2 linked regions of the Diceros bicornis minor genome follow. The protein of the gene in region 2 interacts with the protein of the main gene of each other region in a biochemical or structural test. Links are inferred from orthologs where the notes say so. Each region holds a gene or a part of one and is shown on either strand. Other genes may lie near its edges.

What was found.
Region 1: of the proteins of PSRC1 (region 2) and ASB7, one has a biochemical effect on the other in vitro, tested with the Homo sapiens proteins (2 studies listed by BioGRID, with this or other methods). The link is inferred for Diceros bicornis minor from reciprocal best matches to the Homo sapiens genes PSRC1 and ASB7.

The regions. Positions count from the first base shown.
Region 1 is NC_080744.1:80,992,770-81,003,158, forward strand, and holds the start of ASB7 (ankyrin repeat and SOCS box protein 7), read right to left. Parts: upstream 5,195-10,389; 5' UTR 4,791-5,194; exon of another isoform or gene 4,738-4,790; intron 4,724-4,737; exon of another isoform or gene 4,664-4,723; intron 4,570-4,663; 5' UTR 4,475-4,569; intron 1-4,474. UniProt on the Homo sapiens protein: Probable substrate-recognition component of a SCF-like ECS (Elongin-Cullin-SOCS-box protein) E3 ubiquitin-protein ligase complex which mediates the ubiquitination and subsequent proteasomal degradation of target proteins.
Region 2 is NC_080743.1:42,381,423-42,392,581, reverse strand, and holds the start of PSRC1 (proline/serine-rich coiled-coil protein 1), read left to right. Parts: upstream 1-6,707; 5' UTR 6,708-6,768; intron 6,769-7,140; 5' UTR 7,141-7,179; coding exon 7,180-7,198; intron 7,199-7,289; coding exon 7,290-7,347; intron 7,348-7,790; coding exon 7,791-8,232; intron 8,233-8,577; coding exon 8,578-8,692; intron 8,693-8,782; coding exon 8,783-9,031; intron 9,032-9,350; coding exon 9,351-9,444; coding exon of another isoform or gene 9,445-9,448; intron 9,449-9,658; coding exon of another isoform or gene 9,659-9,694; exon of another isoform or gene 9,695-10,274; intron 10,275-11,159. UniProt on the Homo sapiens protein: Required for normal progression through mitosis. Required for normal congress of chromosomes at the metaphase plate, and for normal rate of chromosomal segregation during anaphase. Plays a role in the regulation of mitotic spindle dynamics.

The sequences.
Region 1 (10,389 bases), on a different chromosome or scaffold from region 2:
ACCTACCCATCACCACTTCCATGGAGGTACCAGGGAGGAGGACATGCAAGGTGAGAGGCAAGGAGAATATGAAATGGTATTAATTTGTTAACAATATCAAGAAAAGGCTTCGTCTTAAAAGATGAAGTGACTAAACTACTTCTCTCAACAAGAAAGATGCATAAACAATAGTAACTTGTGATAATCCCATACCGGCTACTTCAGTCAGATGAATGAAAATCTACTGAGTGCCTGACGTGTGCATGAAACACTGCTAGGCCCTGACGACTGGGATTACCTCTGGGCAGAACTTTAATAGACAGTTCTGCATACTTAAAATAAACTGAATAATCCTAGAAATGTTAAGATCCGTTTTCTCTTTTCTGACAATACTAAGCGCTATAAATAATAACCATAGGTTTAAACCAAAAAAGCACTCTTGGCATGTATCCACCTTTACAAGAAAAAACACAGACACACATACACCACGCACACATGATCCCTGTCAGCTGTATCCCTTAAATTATGAAGGACAATAACTTATTACCAAAATACCCTAATAGTCCAAAGCATCAGACAAGTAACTAATTTTATCTCGGTGTTATTTTATGAGAGTTTGTACTTAATAGAGTATAGCTATCTACATATGTATAAATAAAGAAAAAAAAAAAACTATTGAACTTAAAAAGTAAATACAATATCCAGTGGTAAAGGTGCCTACTTAAAATCATGGAGAAAGTCCAGAGGTGAGAATGGAAAAAAGTCTATTTCCTCTGAAGGAGGGCAAGTTTGAAATCTGATAGCTCATGGAAGTCACTTATAAAATAAAAGAATATGGTTAAAGAGGCAATTTTCTAAATAAATATATGTACAAACTAAGTTGTTTAAAATTAATAATGACTCAGAACTACTAAAACTCTGAGGGTGCAATCTTTAGAAATTCCATTCTGGGTTTCCCAGTCAGAAAAAAGAAAACATACAAACAAGGAAGACTTCAGAATTATGTATCAAAAAGAGCCACTTCCCCAATGTATATCATTTTTATATGAGATTTTATCGCCCAATGTTAATAGTGTGTTTAAATTTTACAAATTCATCTTTTCTACTCTACATGGGGTGAAAAGAAAATAATGTAGGCCTCCAAGCTTTAATCCTGTTAATTGTAGTAGAAACTGTAAATTTAGGAATTAAAATGTTAGCATTTAATTTCCATATAGAGGCCAAGTGAATTTCATTTAGTTAAAACCAAAACTTCTTGATTCACATAATTAAAAGAAGTCTATATTCATAGAATAGAGTGAAGAATAACTATAAAAAAATATATATTTAAGACCTGTCTAAAATTATATAACTTTCACCAAATTTGTCCACATGTCCCCAATTTCCTTTGGCATAAATGATTAGTCATTAACAGTTTTTGCATATTATTTTCACTAAAAGACCACACATTTTTTGATTACGTGATACAAATTAGAACTGTGCTTTCAGATTTCACACAAACTAGAAACAAGGTAACAGCTTGCTACTCAAAAAAAAGAAATAAGCATTTCTTTGCAGAATAAACAGAGATACAGGCTGGTAAGGAAATAAAATCAGCAACTCCAAGGATATTGGCTCTGAGAAAAAAAAAACAAACCACCAATGGCTCACAAGTCCTAAGAGGGAAGATGGATGCAGAAACACTACAAGGCCCAGAGTGTGCAACATGGATGAGCTGTACATTGATGAGCTCTACTTGTATAATCAAGAGCCTGGAACCCAAAATAAAGTAGAAGTGTTATTTTAGTATCACTCAACATAGTTAGCATAGTGTTTATGTTCCAAAACAAGTGAGGGTATTCATATTTCCTCCAAATTACTGGGCCTCATATAACAAAGATTTATTATCATGCACAACTTGTCTATAACTCTCATGAGTTCCAACAGAAAAACCAACAATTTTCATGAAATGTGGATGATGCAATAGAGGAAATTTTGTAATTCACTTATGTGACCCAACTCAAAGCTTAAATCACAAGTACTATAAATGATGAGGTCTTGTCAATACTATCTTATTAACCCACGTCTGGCAGTATTATCTTAGCAGCCTCATGTCAGTGCCTAGCAAGTCTGCAAGAAAGGAGACAATCATTCTACTTAGGGAGTGCCTTCAGTTGAGAAGGAAATGAAAGGCTGAAAGTCAGGTACTAGATATGCTCTTCTAACTTTATCTGACTTTAGACTTTTCAGGGATAGTATGTACTTCTGTGTTACCAAAGTTAAATGTGAACAAAATAAAGAGATACTGTACATGTCATAATAGTAACTAATTGTGAATGGCATCACTTTAGGTATAAAGAAAATAAGTATTGGCCATAACATACTCAAGACACATCACTGAATATCTTCAATTAAAATCAGTTATTCTCCCTATGTGATTATAAATATATATTTGGTTATCGAAAAAATTATGTGTTTTTTGATTTTTTTCTTTCAAAACCATGTGACTGGCAATAGAATTAACAGAAAGTTAACTACCAGGTTGAAAAATATAAACTACCTAACTGGCCATGCTGGTAAATAAGTACCCAAATTAAATATTTTAAATGTTTGCCATAACCTAGACCAAATGCTCTCGATCATGCTAATATCAGGAACAGATGCTGACAATTTATATATATTCCCTAATCTTAGAAAAACCAGTAAAAGCTGAGAGGATCAATGAAATATTATTTAAGCAATGAGAAGGAGCTGGCTGGAAACCAGGGGAAAGCAGTGTCCTCTCTTTACCTTATATGCTTGACTCACCACAGACCCACTCCCTTACCTTCTTAGTGCTAATACCCCTTGGAAATGAAAACATGCTAGAGTTAAATCTAAAGCAGAAAAAATATTTAATTGAGAAGGCCCGAATAGAAAATATGTAATTCATTTTTACCTTAAAAACATACTTCAAATACTTTAGCATTTTTCAAAAAGTCCTAAGAAATCATTAGGCATCTCTCTGGTGACCCACATACTTAAATAATGAAAATTGCCTTTAACTTTATAGACTTCTAGGCAGAAGTCTTACTGAAATGAAGTGCACCCTATAAACACATACAAAGGCTACCCAAAATGTTCACCATGGAATAGTCATTGGTGGATACTGATTCTAAATCCCACTCAGCAGCATACATTCTCCCTTTGGTGTCCAGTTCCAGGTCTCAAGAATATGCAAAACCTCAGAGCCTCTTAAAGCATCTTTAACAGTATCTTGATAATTAGAAGAATCAGGAAAGACATTAATTTCTTTTTGTGGAAGGCAGAAAGTCCACTGGAACAGAGTAAATCAAAGATTTCCTAACAACTTCTGCTATTTTAAGTACCTCTTTGTACCTAAAATTCCCTAAACAATCTGAGACATTAAAATAACTGAGATTAGCAAGTCACTTTATACTCCTGTTATTGGATATTAGAAAAGTCATTCACTTGGCTAATTTCTGAATTAACTCTTATATAACTTCCCAGATCATATCCCCTCTTTAGGAATTACAAGAATGTCCTGAACTTACCTTTAGTGCATCTTTAGAGGCAGCAACAAAATACAGCAGCAGAAATGTGGTCACATGAATTACATGCCTAAATTTCAATCTAACAAATTCTCTGTAAGCGTTTTGAAATGAAAAATATTATTTATGAAGAGTGCAAAAAGAAAGCCCTAGATTCTAAACACACCATAATACGCCTTTGTTTTTAAATTCTTGAGTGTCAAATGATTAACAAGATATTATGCAAAGTTTTAAGTTCTCCTAGAAAATATCAGGTATAACAAGTATTGTTTATCTTTTTAGAACAGTTTCAGGGCCCTTCCACATCTGTCACACAGAAACACACAAAAGCCCAAAGAGTTAATTATACATAAGCGCTTCAGGGGCGAGTATTGCTTTCATATCTCTCCTATTATTAAAGTATACAGATTCACTTTTTACTCAGAAAAAAAGTCACACTGTTTTCCGAAACTCATAAATTTCAAGCCATTACTGTACCTTCCTCTACCAAACCCTTGAGTTAGGTAACGCAAAAGCTTTTCTGATGGAGGTAGAGAAAAGGTGATAGGAAGGAATAAGAAGAAAAGAGAAAACTGTGGTTTAATTAAAAAGCAGAGTCATTCAGAATTAACAAGCAATTAACAAGGAATTGAGGAATTCCTATGAGAGTAAAGCGGGGGGGGGGGGGGGGGGGGGAGCTACTAAAAGGTCTCAAAGTCTCAGAGCAGGGTAAATGGTACAGTGTACCAAAAGATAACGCAAAACACGGAAACACTGTACAGAGAGAAGGGGGAAAACAGCTTCTGGGGTAGAGAAGTTACTAAAATGTTAAGTATTACAGCACGGGCAGTGTTTTTGTTTACACTGGCAAACTGGGGGCCAAGAAAAGGTTGCATTCCCAGGTAATCACCCTGAAAATAAAGCACTGCTTAATAAGGTAAGGGCCAGGAATAAACAAAGGGGGGAGGGGAGGACTGGCTTATTACCTTTATAGAGGATGCTGGTCAGAGGCTCTCTGCTGCTTCTCCGGTGGGTGGGCAAATCCCTTCCTGCTCTCTCGTCTCCTCTAGCCAGCTCAAACCTGGAAATCAGCAACTAGTGAGTGGTGTAGTGCCCTGGGGCCAAGGAGGAGGGGGCTCCGAGGAACGGGGAGCATAGGAAGAGAGTAGTAAGGGCAGGCAGGAAGAAGCAGTGATTCTCCTCCCTCCCGGCCAGCCCCCTTCCTCTCAGGGGAGGTAAGTGACTTTACCTGTCTCCTCAGCTGCTGCTTCTCTTCCTCCTTTCAGCCTCCTCCACACTCACCAACTTCTCCATTGAAGAAACACCCCAGACAGGGCCGGACACGGGTGTTCCTGATCCTCCTCGGTGCCTCACGGCCCCAGCCCGGCGAGCATCCAGACAGCCGAGCAGACGGGGGGCGGCGGTCCTGGCCGCGGGGCAGCCTCGGGGCAGGGGTGCAGGGAGGAAGTCCCGACTCGGGTGGGGGGGGGCAGTCCCGGTCTGAGGACTCGGAGCAGGGGGCTGCCGCGCTCCGGGCCAGACTCCCAGCTACGGGCGGACACGGGAGGTCTGGGGACAGCGAGGTCCCGGGTCACACAGGGTTCGAAGTGCCAGCCGCAGGGGCTCCAGGCAGGGGGCTTTTGGGATGCACTTTGCACTGGGCCACCCCCGCCCCCTCCCTCCAGCACTTTGGGGTCACTGGGATGGGACCAAGCCTTCAGCAGCCAATCAGCGGCCGCACTGGAGCCTGAGCCCGGAGCCGTAAACCAGGTCCGGAGTGGGTGGGGGTGGGGGGCGGGGGCGACTTGGTTGGTTGGTTGCTTCCTTCTCTCCTCCTTACCCCAGGCAGCCCCCACCCCTTGGCTGCCGTAAAGCCGCCTGCGCATTCGCGACAGTTAGAGGAGGCGTGCCGATCGAGGCTGGGAGTCGCCTCCAATTGGCCCTACTTACTTTCCCCTCGGCTTCCCCCCTGTGGCTTCCGATGCTCCGCCCCTGGCGGAGGGACTCGAAGCGGTTGCTAAGAGACAGTGAACGCTAAGGGGGCTTCTGCGCATGCGGGGGGAGGGACTAGCGTGTACTCTCCGTGAACTACGGTGGCCGGGCAGGGGCCGGTGGTCGCTGGAATGGCGGTGGGAAGGCTGAGTGTCTAGAGCCAGATCCCTGGCAGGAGCCAGATCCCTGGCAGGTAACTGGGAGCGGCCGCTGAGTTCGGCGACTGGGGAGGCGTGTGTCTGGCCGACTGAGAGGCTGGTCCAAGGGGTTAAGGTTGGAGAGGCGGCAGTCCTCAGGAAGCGAGGAGAGGGGCGCCTTGTGTCGCCGCCCCTCCTCAGCGATTTTCTGACTCGAGTGCCAGGTCCATGGCTCATCTCTCCGTCCCGGAGGCCCGTTAGCTACCAGGCTAGGTATGCCTCGCCTAGCGCGGAAGAGAGGACTCTCTTTGGGATGGCGGTGACATTTCAAGGGCTTTCCTGCAAGGATATCGACCCTCACGGATTTCTGTGAATGGAGGGGAAAAGAGAGTGGAAAATATGCCAGATGGACCTGTTCATTAAGTGCATTTATTCATTTAGCAAGTGTTTACTGGCCGGGCACTGTTCTAGCTGTTAGGGAGACAACAGTGGACAAGATAGATGCAATCACTTGCCCTCGTGGAGCTTTCATAAAATTATCAGATAGGGATAGGTTATATAAAGAAAATAAAGAAATAATAGAATCGAGTTCGACTAGGACGTGGTGGATATTATAGATAGTCAGGAAAGGTCTCTGAGGAAATGACATTTGAGCAAACGATCTGAATGAAGAGGAGCCATACCAAGAGCTGGGGGGTAGAATTTTGTAGACAGAGAGAAAAGTGCAAACCCTATGATGCTGGAATAACGTTTGCCGTTTACAAGAACTGCAAGAAAGAAGGCGAGCGAGTCTAATAGAGTAAGAGGAAGAGTGATTGGTAATGAGGTTGGGGTGTGGGACAGGCTGGACCTTGTAGGCCATGCTTGGGAAGTTATAGTATCTTATTTGTGTTTTGAAAAGATCACTGGCTGCTCAGTGGAGAAGACTGTAGCTGGGAGTGGGGTTTGCTGCAAATGTGGAAGGCTATTGTTGTCTAGGCAGGAGTTGATATTATTTTAAACTAAGTCATATTTGACTACCACCGATGTCTTCGAAGAAAGGCCTACCTGTTTATGTAAAGGAAGTATTTCAATATATCAACTGCTTTTATGTAGCAAAATATATTAAGAAGTTTTGTGGCAGATGGATTCACTGCAGATGCTTTCAATTTGCCCCCTGATATTTTCTTTTACACCATCATTCATTTGTTCAAGAATACTCATTTTGGTGCCTTCCACATGAGCTACCTGTTGGCTTATGTAGGCAAACGGGACTCCGGCCTGACCAAGGGAGCTCCTAGTCAAGTGTGGGGGAACCAAATTAGAAAATAGTTATAGACGATGCAGTGAGATAAATACTGTGGTATAGGCTGAGGGAGCACTTGGCAGGGCCCTCTATTCCTGACTTGGATATGTGGAAGGTTCCCCCCAGACTGGAGGTTTCCATGTTGAAGGTTGAGAGTTGGGGAGAGAAGGCTGAATGTGATTTAGTCAGAAAGAATGGACTAAGCGAAGCTTGGGAATCCTTAAAGGGCACAGAGTTTCTGAGGACCTCAGAGAAGGCTTGGAGCTTAGTTTGTAGGTCACAGAGGTGAGAAGAGTCACATCTTGAAGGGCCTGCTAAGCCATGTTCAGGGGTTTGGGCTTTATCCTAAGGAAAAGTGGAGAGATTTTTCAGTTATTGTTCTTGTTTTCTTCAGATATATACCCAGAAGTGGGATTACTGGATCATATGGTAGTTCTATTTGTAGTTTTGGGGGGAACCTCCATACTGTTTTCCATAGTGGCTGCACCAATTTACATTCCCACCAACAGTGCACAAAGGTTCGCTTTTCTCCATATCCTTGCCAGCACTTGTCGTTGCTTATATTTTTGATAATAGCCATTCTAACAGGTCTGAGGTGATATCTCATTGTGGTTTTGATTTGCATTTCCCTGGTGATTAGTGATGTTGAGCACTTTTTCATGTGCCTGTTGCCCATCTGTATATCTTATTTAGAAAATGTCTATTCAGATTCTCTGCCCGTTTTTTAATCAGAATGTTTGTTTTTTTGCTATTAAGTTGTATTTTTTAATGTTTTTTGGATATTAACTGCTTCTCAAATATATGATTTGCAAATATTTTCTCCCATTCAGTAGGTTACCTTTTCATTTTGTTGATGGTTTCCTTTGCTGTGCAGAAGCTTTTTAGTTTGATGTGGTCCCACTTGTTTTTTTTGCTTTTGTTGCCTTTGCTTTTGGTGTCAAATCCAAAAAATCATCATCAAGATGATGTCAAGGAACTTTCCACTTATGTTTTCTTCTAGGAGTTTTATAGTTCAAGTCTTTAATCCATTTTGAGTGAATTTTTGTGTATGGTGTAAAATAGTGGTCCAGTTTCATTCTTTTACGTGTGGCTATCCAGTTTTCCCTGCACCATTTATTAAAGAGACTGTCCTTTCCCCATTGTATATTCTTGGCTCCTTTGTTGCAAATTAATTGACCATATATGCATGGATTTATTTCTGGGTTCTCTATTCTGGTTCTATTGATCCATGTGCCTGTGTTTATGCTAATACCATACTGTTCTGATTACTATAGCTTTGTAATATAGTTTGAAATCAGGAAGCCTGATTCCTCTAGCTTTGTTCTTCTGTTTTCAAGATTGCTTTGGCTATTTGGAGTCTTTTATGGTTCCATACAAATTTTAGGGTTGTTTGTTCTATGTCTATGAAAAATGCCATTGGAATTTTGATAGGGATTGCGTTGAATTCGTAGATTGCTTTGGGTAATATGCACATTTTAACAATATTAGTTCTTCCAATCTATGAGCACAGAATATCCTTCCATTTACATGTGTTGTCTTCAGTGTCTTTCATCAGTGTCTTATAGTTTTCAGTGTACAGGTCTTTCACCTCCTTGGTTAAATTTTTTCCTAGGTATTTTATTCTTTTTGATGCAGTTTTAAATGGGATTTTTTTTTTTAATTTTTCTTTTTGATAGTTCATTATTAGTGGATAGAAATGCAACAGATTTTTGTATATTGAATTTGTTTCCTGTAACTTTACTGAATTCATTTATTGGTTCTAATAATTTTGTGGTGGAATCTTTAGGGTTTTCTATATATGATGTCATGTCATCTGCAAATAGTGACGGTTTTACTTCTTCCTTTCCAATATGGAAGCCTTTTGTTTATTTTCCTTGACTAATTGCTCTGGCTAGGACTTCCAACACTATAATGAATAAAAGTGGCAAGAGTGGGCATTCTTGTCTTGTTCCTGATCTTAGAGGAAAAGCTTTCAGCCTTTTACCATTCACAGTTGATGTTAGCTGTGTGCTTGTTGTATATGGCCTTTATTATGTTAAGACACGTTCCCTCTATACCCTCTTTGTTAAGAGTGTTTTATCCTAGATGGATGTTGAATTTTTTCAGATGCTTTTTCTGCATCTATTGAGATGATCATATGATTTTTATCATTTATTTTGTTAATGTATTGTATGACATTGATTGGTTTGCAGGTGTTGAACCATCCTTGCAACCATGGAATAAATCCCACTTGATTGGTATATGATTCTTTTAATGTATTATTGAACTCAGTTTGCTAATATTTTGTTGAGGATTTTTATATCTATGTTCATCAGTGATATTGGCCTGTAAGTATCTTTTCTTGTGATGTCCTTGTCTGGTTTTGGTATCAGGGTAATGCTGGCCTTATAAAATGAGTTTGGAAATGTTCCCTCCTTTTCTGTTTTTTGGAAGAGTTTGAGAAGGCGTGTTAATTCTTCTTTAAATGTTTGGTTGAATTCACCAGTGAAGCCATCTGATCTTGGACCTTTGTTCATTGCGAGGTTTTTAATTACTGAATAGTCTCCTTACTACTAATCAGTCTGTTCAGATTTTCTATTTCTTCCTGATTTAGTCTTGGTAGCTTGTATGTTTCTAGGAATTTATCCATTTCTTCTAATGTTGTGCAGTTTGTTGTCTCAGAAAGTCATATTTAAGCTGAAAACAAAAGCTTTCTAAGTGGAGGGAACAGCATTGTATCAAGGTCCAGAGTCAAGAAGGAACCTTTGAGGTGACTAAATAAAGGAGTATTGGCATCCTCCTGCTTGAATTGTAGAAAAGTCTTCATCATATAAACTCTGTACTTTTTGCAAATCTTTGAGTGTGTGCTACTTTGCTGAGGTAGGTTAGGTAACCTTACTTTATCAACCGAAAATCAAGTTTGTCTCTTTGGTACAGTATTCTGAATTCAGGAGTTCAGTAAAATAGGTGGTGCTGTTGTCATATCTATAGACATTCCCCAAACTCTACCCTGCCACTGGTGGAAGGTTTTTTTGGTGGGGGGCAGGAGGAGGAGGGAAAGGGGCATAGATTGGTAAAAGAGACTGAGTAAAGAAACATTTCATTCTGAAGCACCGCTTAAAATGTAGAACCATATTTTAGCAACTAAGGGTAGAGAAGTTTTGTTTTTTATATTGCTACCCTGGAGATTTTCCATTAAAAAAAAATGCTTAGCATTAGCACAATATAATGTAAACCTAATGAGCTTATATTCCTTATCAGGAAAATCGAGTAGATTGGTCAGTGGTCATTAAAGAATAGTCCCCAGTCCAATTCTTGGGCCCTGCCCAGATCCACTGAATCAAAATCTCTGGAGGTGGACCCCGCCATCATATTCTGTCAAGCTGTCTTGGAGATTCTGAAGCTAGACTGCAAACCAGTGGTCTAGATCATCTCTGAGGTTTTTTCTGGTACTTAAACACTATGATTCTAATGTCCAGCATCAATCTGTACTGTGTAAAAATAGTTT
Region 2 (11,159 bases):
AGCGACTCCCAAGCCAACAGTGGGACTAGAATATAAATGATTCAACAATGTATATACAAAAAAGAGGAGATCCTGACACCCAGTGCTTATGACGCATGGAGGGAGCAAGACGGAACAGAAGTCATCGCCTTTCCTCTAGTCAGCAATACTTGAGGAACAACGCGAGGTTTTAGGTGCTCTTTACAACCAAGAGGAGCGTGGCAGGCTGTTGAGGGTCCTCAAAGGGGAACTCCTTCCCAAATGTAAGGGACAGGGAGCTATCCAGAAGGCTGTTATCTCTTCTCGATCCCTGTACCATCTGTTCCTAAAGCACCCACTCCCCCTGCTCCTCTGGCTGGCATGTCCCCAGGCCTTGAAGGCAAAGAGTTCCAGACACTGAGCACAAAAAGAACAATTGGTTCTTTTTTTTTTTTTTTAATTTATTTATTTTTCCCCCAAAGCCCCAGTAGATAGCTGTATGTCATAGTTGCACATTCTTCTAGTTGCTGTATGTGGGACGCGGCCTTAGCGTGGCCGGAGAAGCAGTGCGTCAGTGCGCGCCCGGGATCGGAACCCGGGCCGCCAGCGTCAGAGCGCATGCACTTAACCGCCAAGCCACGGGGCCGGCCCAAGCAATTGGTTCTTACCACCCCTTGTTGCTCCCTCGTCTTTATCTTCCAGCCAAAGATCATCTGGCTAAAGAACAAGATTGATATCCAAGACAACCCCAAGTACGGAGCCCTCACTCACCTGGGAATCTGCTCCCTAGAAATCCGCAAGCCTGGTCCCTTTGACGGGGGTATCTACACCTGCAAGGCCGTTAACCCCCTGGGGGAGGCATCCGTGGACTGTCGGGTGGATGTGAAAGGTAAGGGCAGAACTTACGCCTTAGGGTGCAATCATGTCTCTCCATAGCTGGAAAAGTTGGGGCAGAGACACAGCCTAGATGGAGAAGGGCTTGGTTTGCTTCCCCTTCAGGCCCTCTCATTGCTGTCATCATTGCGATGTGTTTGGGGAGCCGTTTTGTTATCCACCATCTCATGTCTCTCCATCATAATTCTGTAATATAGGACGAATTGCTATTTCCATTTTGCAAAGGGGAAACCTGAGGCACAGGGAGGTGATTGGTTTACCCAAGATTTCCAGTGTTGGTTAACTGAGGAGTTGGCACTATGGCAGAGAGAGCTCATGTCTCCTGGGCCTCACCCAGATCATTTTTCTATAAAATATACAGTCTTCTGATTCAGTCTCCTCTGGGAGACTTTCCCCTCTGGTTTGTTAAAAGGGAATATTGTACATCCTTTCTACCTCTTATAAAGTATTCATTCATTTATCCATTCCTTTCACCTTGTTCATAGCTCCATATTGCATTTAGCATATTGTTTTATAATTATTTATTTACTGATCTGTTTCCCCATTAAACTATGAGCACCTTGAGGGCAGGGACAGTCTTATTCGCCTTTGTTCCCCAAGGGTTGAGCGCAGTTTCTGACACACGGTGAACACTCTCTAAGTGTGTGTAGCATGAATCAGGAATGAATGGGCCATTATATGTCCTATTCTTCCCTGTGCGTAGATTCCTAATTAGCACCATGGACCCTCAAAAAACCTAAGAAGTATATCCCTTCCTAACGCTCCAGAAGGTTCCCCAGAGATTTCTGAGACATTAACATTGAGAAATGTCTGAATTCTTGCAGCTCCTCACTGAGGCTCCTGAAGAGGACACGGCAACTCTGAGGAAGATAAGGAAAGAGGGACAGGGGTCTGAATAAATTATTTCATGTTTATGGCTAATGTTGTTGAGCCTGGGACAGATACGCAGTCCTGAGCCTTTCAACCATGCACTCGCTGGTGATCACTTTTCTTTTAACCACTTTTTTTGGTAAGCTAATACGATCATCCACATGGAAGGAATTTACCACAGATAAAGTCTACTTTTGTCACATCTTCTATCTGTCTGTACTCCTCAAGTTGATGATAGGAATTAAACCTAACAGTCCTCTGAAAAAGAGTGACAGCATCTACCTAATTGTAAGAGGGTGCTGTGGGAGGGAGGTGGGCAGGTGCTGTAAGAAAAGGTGTCAGGGGAACAATCAGGAGTGGAAGATGGATGAGGTCGCCTCTACCTCATGGCAGCAGCATGGAAAAGGAGAGAGGAAGCTGCTCCTGTCAATTAAGTGTTTCTACCGCAGTATCATAAGCATGGTGAGAAACAGATTAGTTTGCTTGTTTTTTACTTTGAAGTTTATGGATTCTTTCCCCTCCAAGAGAATAAAACCACCATTCTCATTACATGTCAATAATAATTGAACATGTGGGTATGTGGTCCCAAGCAGCACATTATTGGCAAAGGCAACTCAGATCATCATTTAGAATTTGATAACTTCTTCAGATTCTAAATCATTCACAGTAGAAATGTTGTGTACAAACTGATGAGGTGCAAAAGAAGCTCGTGAGAGAATTAAAGAGAACTGGCTCCCAATGTCTCCTCTGACCTGCAGCTCCTGGCTGATGAAAACTGAAAATGAATTCCATCCCAGAAGCCATTTATTTAAGCCTATCATTGATATATAGCAAATGAAAACTGTAAGGGATGCATTAGAAGTACAGACTTAGGAGAGCTCTCTCTGCCAGTTGGCTTGCAAAGCCAGCTCTCTCGCCATCCCTCCATTCCCTCCATGTTAACGTTAATGTTGTGTTGTGTTGGTGTTAGCCTTGTTAGTGTTAGTTGCCCTTTGACCTCTCTCCCAGCCAGTGCCCAGCAAGGAAGCAGGGTAAGTAGAGAATTCAGAGGACAGGACCCAGGGACCGTGAAGAGGGATTGCCCCAGCATCCCGGGTGTGCTCTGGCTGTGTGCTGTAATGGCCACCACATATCCTCTCTTTTCTGTGCCTTCAGGAAGCCTGACTGTGGCGAGACTGTATTCTTAAGGAGCTCCAGCACAGTGTCTGGTTTGGATGAATCTAAATAAATATGTGAATCCTCAGTGCCTAAGTGTCCATCTGTCTGAGCCTTTCTATATGGGAAAACCATTTAGAAAGTTAGAATCCTTTAGCCAGACTGTATGGGATCTGCAGACCCTCAGACTCCTCTTTCTCTTCCCATATCCACACTCTCTTCCACAAAGGTTTCTAACACTGTCCTTTTCTCTAAACAGTCTATGACAGAGCTGAGTTCAACTCTGTACAGTACCAGGCACTGAAAGAGATGCTGAAGATCACTTGCTCTCTTTCTTTGTGCTCTTTCCAGAATAAGTTGGAAAACAGGGTGCACATCCATCACAGAGATGTAGACAGCAGGACACATAAATACGTACATAGCTAATTAAAGACAGAGCACTAAGACTTGAGGGCTAGGAGATACTGAAGAAATTGGAGCAGAGTCTCATTAAGCCCTGGGGAAAGAATAAAGACGAGGGGCCCTTGCTTATATGTTTTCATTCTTAGAGCAAATAAGATATGGAAGGTATTCTGTGATAGAACCTGCAAAAGATAGCAATAATTCTTCCCATCCTAGTATGGGCATGGTATTCTTCCCGTCAAGATTTGGAGTCTATTTCTCCTACCCTCTAATCTGGGCTGCCCACGTGACCTGCCTTGACCAAAAGAATGTAGTGGAGGTGATGCTTTGCCAGTTCTGGGCCTAGACCTTAAGAGGTCTAGTAGTTTCTGCTTTTGCTTTTGGAAGTCAGCTCCCATGTAAAGAATCTCAGGATAGATTACTGAATTACGAGAGGCCACATGGAGGACAACCAAGCATCCCAGCTGACAGCCAGCACCACAGCCCTAGACATGTGTGGCCGCCTTGGACCCTTCAGCCCCAGTCAAGCCCAATCTACTCCTTGTGGAGTAGAGACAGGTTGTCCTTGCATAGCCCTGCCCAAACTGTAAAACCATGAGCACATGAATGGCTACTGTTGTTTCAAGTCACTAAATATTGGTATGGTCTGTTACACAGTAATATGTAACTGAAACAGCCTTCTATGCATCAGGCATTGACCATTAGGCTTTATCTCTTTTAATCTTCATTTTACAAATGAGGATGCTGAAGCTTATAAATTGCTCCAAGTCATGCAGCTGGGAAGTAGCAGAGCTAGAATTTGAACTAGGTCTATGTGACTTCGAGCCTTCCCTATTTCCTCTCATCTCTTTCACCCAGTGACCCCCACTGTAGCGGGTCTGGGTTGGAACCATGGGTTTAAGAAAGAAAAGATTTCTAAGAGGCAGTAAATATTAGGCAAGTTTTGGAGGAGGAAGGGGATGTGTTTTGGCTAAGAAGAGTGTAAAAGGCTTTTCTGTTCAGACCAAAGGTCTATTTTCAGTTGAGGCAAAGCATCTATTCTAGCCTTTCTCAACTGGAGTTCTATGAGAATTAAGCCCCAATGCCCCAATGCATCCACTGTATGTCAAATTCACTTCTTCCTCTGCATCTAGAATGTTACTAGTTATGTGCCATCCTTGGGAAAATTGAGAAAACAGTCACACAAATCTTTTGTAGGCTCTAATGCACTTGTGGAACCCCTGCTGAGAATGTTGGCGAGGCAGAGTCCAGAGTGAGCCAGTCATGTACATAACGGCCAGAAGGCCTCCTTCCAGCTGAAGCAGGGCCCAGGTCAGGAAGGAGTGAAATACTCCCAGCTTTGATGCCCTAAGGATCAGTTAGACCTTGGGCCTCAGCCCACAGCCTCTGCTGTTTGTTGAAGTACTCAAGGGCCATGCCTTAAAGTTCATATATTCTCAACCTTCATGGTGAAGGAATAAAATTTTCTTCACACTGACCAAGACCTCCAGTCACAGCTAATCTTTCTGCATTCAAGGAGAACTACACTAGAATCCTTAATTTTTTCATTTATGCACTCAACACTACGGAGTACCTTCTGAACTAAGGCCTACCATGTGCCTAAGGGGGTGTCATTTCTTCATTATTTATCCAAAATCTTAAAACACCTATTCACATGTACCATTTGAGGTTGAGCTGAGGAGGAGAAATATTTCCCAGATTAGTGGCTTTATACAGAGTGGAGAATTCTTGCTCCTGAAATCTACATTTTCTGGCTTTGTTGTCATTCTCATAGAGGAGAAAGTAGTTTCACTGCTTTTTTTCTGCTACCGCAACAGCTTTCAAAATCATAATTTGGTGACAGAAAATTGGAGATGAGTTTCCCTAGGAGAAACTAACTTTCAATTAGCTAAAACTGCCTCCCCTACTCATCTGAAGGTGGGTGAAGACATAAATGCAGACTTTCCCTACTCAGGCTGCTCCTGGGGGAAGAAGGAATGCAGTTAATTAACAGCGTCTCTCCTCTGATCTCACTTTGCCTGCTACCTGTGTGGAGAGAGGGAAGCTACTGGCTCTGGTTTTCTTACCTCCATGGAACCTGAATCCTACAAGCAACTAAAATTCCACCTTCACCAGCAAGCCTAGGGAAAAAGAGGAAACCTTCTTCTCTCAGCTCTTCCTCACATAAGCTTACAAGTTCCGGGTCTCCCCATCCTTTCCCTTATCATCCCACTAAATTCCAAGGATCCTGTGCTTCCTGTGGCATTACAATAACATCTCACTCCTGCAAACCTCACCACCTCCACTTTACCGCTAAAAGCTAGGAAGTAAATGAAAAAGCCTTTAAGTGGCCAAAATAATGGTCATAAACTCTGGAGACTAAAGCTCAGGTTCTTTGTTTACAAGAAAGCTCTTCAGCCATTCTTTTCCGGCCTTTTAAAATTTTTAGAACATCTCTGTTAACTGGTGGCCCAGCCTATTCACAGGCAACACTTGGAAACAACAGAGAGAAAAATCCCTAATGATTGTAGCCTTAAGCATTTTACAAACATAGCTTTTGGTCTAGAGGTAGCAAGTTACAAACACCCCCTCAAAAGCCGCTAAGGCACACGGTAGAAAACTTAATGTTCATACTTATCCTCCTAACCACGTAACTGTCAAGGTCAAGATGCTCACTTCATAGATGAGCGAGGGGTCAAATACAGGTGCAGAGAGGTCAAGTATCCTGAAACTCTCCTAGCTTGCAAACAGAGGAGTCACGGTTAGAATTGAACCCAAATCTGTCTGTCTGAAAATTCCGTTGTTTTCTTTACACCTTGGCTGCCTCACGTTCCGAATGTTCTTGCTTAAAAAGCCAACAGAAGATATACTTCTTAGAGAATCTCAATATACTTAAAACATAAATGTTTAGGTGCTTCCGTAACTTGGAAAAACCACAACTGAGCAAATTTGGCAAACGCGGCGCTTGCAGGCGGAACAATCTTCCTCAGGCACAGCGTTAGGATTGGCGCCGACGGCCAGGAGGGGCGTCAGGCAACCACGCCGGTCCCCAGGACCGCGCAGGTCCGGCAAAACCCGGCTCGACCAAGCAGGAGACGGAGAGGGGGAGGAGACGGGCGGGTGGGGGGCAGGGCGCGAAACCCAAGCTCATTGGCCCGTTCCCTCGCGCACCGCCTCGAGGCCCCGCCCCTCCCAGGCCCGACTCCGCTCGGCTCCCCTCTTGGGAGCCAAAGGAAGGTCTCCCGGGCACGCGCGCGCTCGCGGCCCCGGGGTTTCAGCCCTCTGCATTGAGTCTCTCTTGGAACCGCTCTCCACACGGCCCCCACCTGCAGACTTCCGGCCAGCTGCCCGCCGCCGCCCCGCCCCCCAAGGGCGGGGGATGCTGGGATCCGCCAATCACTGAGCGCGTGTGATGGGAGTGGGTGGGGCCTGAGAGATTCGAAAGGAGCCCCGCCCCTCGGAGCTGATTCCCTGGACTAGGTTGTGGGAGGAAAGCAGCTTCCGCGCAAGGTGTGGCGGCGCGAAAAGTCAGAACTGAGGGTGGGTTGAAGGTGTGGTCCGTGGGTGTGGTGCCGTGGGGAGTGGCGAGGTGGATGGGGGGAGGCAGAACCCGGAGATTGGTGGCGGGAAGAAGGTGGGGCGCGCCTCCAGTGAGGAGAGGCCGGGTCGCTGAGGGGCGCAGTCTGCGGAGGGCGATGGGGGTGGAGGAGGAGCTCTCCGCACCCTCCCCGGAGGTAACAGGGGTAGTTACAGGGGCAGGTGCCACTCCTGGGACGCTTGCTTTACCTCCAGCATGACCTCCAACCCCTGGTTTGCACCCTGAGTCTAGCTGGGAGCCTTGGGCAGGATGGAGACCAGAGGAATGGTGTGTTTTCTCTCCAGCTCAGGTCTAAGCTGACTCTTGCTTCTGCTGGCAGGAACATGGGAGATTTGGAGGAAGGTAAGGAAACCCTGGAGGGCAGAATGAGACCCTGCGATTGAGAGCCGTGTTAGGGCCCCGAGTCTGGCAGTCATTCTTTCCTCCCCTACAGATGTAAAGTTTATAGTGGATGAGACCTTGGACTTTGGAGGGCTGTCACCATCTGACAGGTACTAGCCTCTTTATCCTACTTACTCTCCTCCAACAAGGCCTCTCTGACCCCTTACTGCTGAATTACTGGCCTCTGGAGCCTGGGTTGGTAATTTAGCAAGGTTGGGTGCACTGGGGCTGCTGGGTTTGACTGGGGTTGACTTGGGTTTCTATGACACTAATGGGGGAACGAGAAGGGATAAGCTGGAGGGAGACTACAGGGTGTTAGGGAGAAGGGTAAGTGGATTTGCTGTGTCTTCATCCTTGCGTAATTTCCAATGTCACTAAATGCTGAAGGCTTATTAGGCCTCATAGAACCAGGTGTCTCATCACCTAGAAGCCGGATCTCACACCCAGCATGGGGATCAGGGTTTAGGGGTGTGTCCCTGGCTCTGTTGTGCGGGTTTTGCCCAGTCTCCTGCTCTCTAACGCGTGGGCATGGTGCCTGGTTTTTCTGTCTCAGTCGTGAAGAGGAAGACATAGCAGTGTCGGTGACTCCGGAGAAACCCTTCCGACGAGGCCTCTCCCACCGAAGTGACCCAAATGCAGTGGGCCCTGCCTCCCAGGGTCTGAGGTTCAGCTTAGGCCCCCTCAGCCCAGAGAAGCTGGAGGAGATCCTTGATGAAGCCAACCGGCTGGCAGCTCAGCTGGAGCAGTGTGCCTTGCAGGAGCGGGAGATCACAGGCCAGGGCCTGGGGCCTCGCAGGATGAAGCCCAGCCCTCGGCGGGAGACCTTTGTGCTGAAGGACAGTCCTGTCCGGGACCTGCTGCCCACTGTGAGCTCTTTGGCTCGGAGCACCCCCTCCCCAAGCAGCCTGCCACCTCGACTCCGGAGCAGTGATAGGAAGGGGTCAGTCAGGGCTCTTCGAGCAACATCTGGAAAGAGGCCCTCCAGCGTGAAGAAGGTGAATTTAGAGGGTCTGTGTGTCCCCAGACACACTGCGTGACTCGGTACAGGCATAGAGTGGTTTCCTCGTTGGTAAAATGGGAATAGTAAATTCTCCCTTATAGAATTGTTGGAATTAAATGAGATACCACAAGCAAAGCACTTACTGTAGTGTCCGTGCATAGCTCCAGAATGCCTAAAATAAGCTCTCAATAAATGGTATTGGTGATGATGATGGTGTTAGCAGCTAACTTCTGCTCTTCCTTACTGGGATCTAGGCCACTCTCCACCTCTATCCCTTAGTCACCCAGCAGAACAGATTCTTTTTCCATTCTAGTCCTTTTTTTCTCTCTTTGTGTTTCAGGAGTCGCCCACGTGCAATCTGTTCCCCGCAGCCAAAAGCCCGGCATCTTCTCCTCTTGCCCGATCAACTCCTCCAGGCCGGGGAAAAGCTGGGCCCAGTGGGAGAGCAATAGCAAGTGAGAAGACCTGGGCAGCAAGGCTATGGGTGAACGGGAGTAGGGAGGATGTGGAGCTTACCCTAAAATTCCTCTGCTCCTCTCCACCAGGCCCGCCTACCCCTGTCAGACCAGTCTTGGCCCCACAGCCTTCTACCAGCAACTCTCAGCGCCTGTCTCGGCCACAGGGAGCAGCTGCTAAACCTTCCAGTCGGCTGCCTGTTCCCTCTGCCATCCCCAGGCCTGCCAGCCGAATGCCACTCACCAGCCGGAGTGTACCACCCAGCAAAGGTGCCCTACCTCCAGATTCTCAGTCAACTCGGAAAGGACTTCCAAGACCCAGTGCTGCAGGGCACAGAGGTGAGGAAGAATGGACATCAGGGTAAGAAGTCAGGAGGAAGAAGACCTACTGTTGCCCAGCTTGACTGCACCCTCCCAGAGCTGGTCACAGTGACCACCTCCATCTCCATTATAACTCTGTAGAAGATGGGGAGACTGAGTTTAGGAGAGGATGTGGGCCTGGGCAAAGAGTTTGAGCCTTGCATTTCAAATACCTTCTGTTTTTTACCTTGGGTGAGAGGAAAGGCACTAATCCCAAACTCACTGTGCCTTCTGTTTCTTTTTGAGAAGGTCACTTGAACTTTCTGCTAACGCATTTCTTTTGTTAACCCCCATCAAGTTCCTGTTTCCCAGCGACCAAATCTTCCCCTCACTGGTGCCACTCACAGCAATCTGCAGCCCCCCAAGAAAGTTGCAGACCCAGGACCTACCAGGTAAGACTGGTTGAGATGCTTTCTCTCTCTCCTCTGCCATCTGGGCTTCTGAGCTGTTATGCACATCAGCCCTGAATCCTGTGTGGCAAGATAAGGGTGAGGAGGGGAGCCTGTAGGGGTGGGGAAGCCCATTTCTTCCTACCCTGAGGATCTCGAACTCAGCTGGGTGAGGAAGAAGGGCAATTTAAGGCAGTTCCTCCTTCTGTCTCTTTAGGTAGAGAGATCAGGACAGCAAGCAAGAATTCAGTAGCAAACCACTACAGTCACTGCCTGGACTCACCTCTCCTGGGCCTCCCCAGTCCTCCCGTTGGAGGCAGGCCCTGACTTCAGCAGATTCTGGCCCAGGGGCAGGAGGAAGAGATGCCACCAGGGCTAGTGCCCAGGAGTAGAGACCGTGGGAGATGGGATAGATCAGGAGTGAGCTGGGGGAAAATCAAACTCTCTGGATTGAAAGAAGATTAGGGAAAAAAGAGGTCGCCTCCCAGTAGTGAAATTAACAAACAAAAAATGAGAAATGCAGGAGAGTGGATTGTCCTCATCCACCCCCACTCTTGTGTTCAGCTGCAGAGAGTTTGATCTTCTTCCCAGGCATTGGTTCACTGGACGTTTACATGTGAATGGTCTCTGTGGCTAACCTCCCTGCTCTCTGAGGAGGGGTCCTCCTGAGTCACATCCTCTACTGGACTCGGGCCTGTTTGGAGAAGCAGAGGCAGGCATCTGGTTTCCAGAACTTGTTTCCTGTAAATTCTGTGACTCCTAACAGGCCAGTTTATGATAAGCTTACTCCATCAGTCTGCATTTTTCTAAAATAAAATGAATGTATTTTTATATTCTCTGTACTTGTGAAAGTAGATCCTGCTCCAATTTCTAACAAATTTGGAGTAAACTCCTGTGTAATTCCAATGAGGTAACCAGGCTGTGTTGTGTAGGCAGGGGCCTGAATAGGCGCTGGGGCCTTGAGATTCCAGCTTGTCAGGTTGTGATTACCCCCCTTGTCAGCATTAGATGGGAACAGGCTGCCCTTTCCCAGGATTCCTGTTATTAGAAGGTCCAGATCAAGTTAAGGTATACCTTAACCCCCTCCTACACCCACCTTATACTTAATGAATGAAATTCTCAGCCACATACAAGTCACAACACTAGGCACTGCAGAGGTTTATAAACCCTGGTGCCAGCTCTCAAATCTAGTGAGGGAGATAAGAGGAGAACACTGATGTGTTCTAATGCTGTAAGGCAGAATGCGATGAGGCGTTCTGGCATCTTCTGCCTAAGGCAATCAGAAAAGCTGAGTACCAGGATACCCACCAAAGGGCCCCCTGATCCCAAAGTACAGCAGATAAGAAGCTGAGGAGTTCCCAGGAGGCTCCATTCTCTTGCCAGGAAAGGACACCCAAGTTTAGGATATGAATAGTAATTTATAATAATAATAATGATAATGATAATAATCCTGGCTTGACACCTCACATGTATGTGGCTGAGAATTTCATTCATTTATTGAAAAAAATATTTGAGTGCAAGATGGTGGGTACTGAATGAATGACAAAGACTCATTTAACAGATTTAACTATGAGTCCCTTTTCTCACAGCCTTTGATTCTTGCAACCAAAACCAACTCAATTCCTTATGAGTTTTGAGAGAACTTTCCTCCTTGAAAGCCAGGCCATGACTTAAGGAAGCCAGTAGGCAGCTAGGCAAAGGGAGTGGAGTGCCAGCTG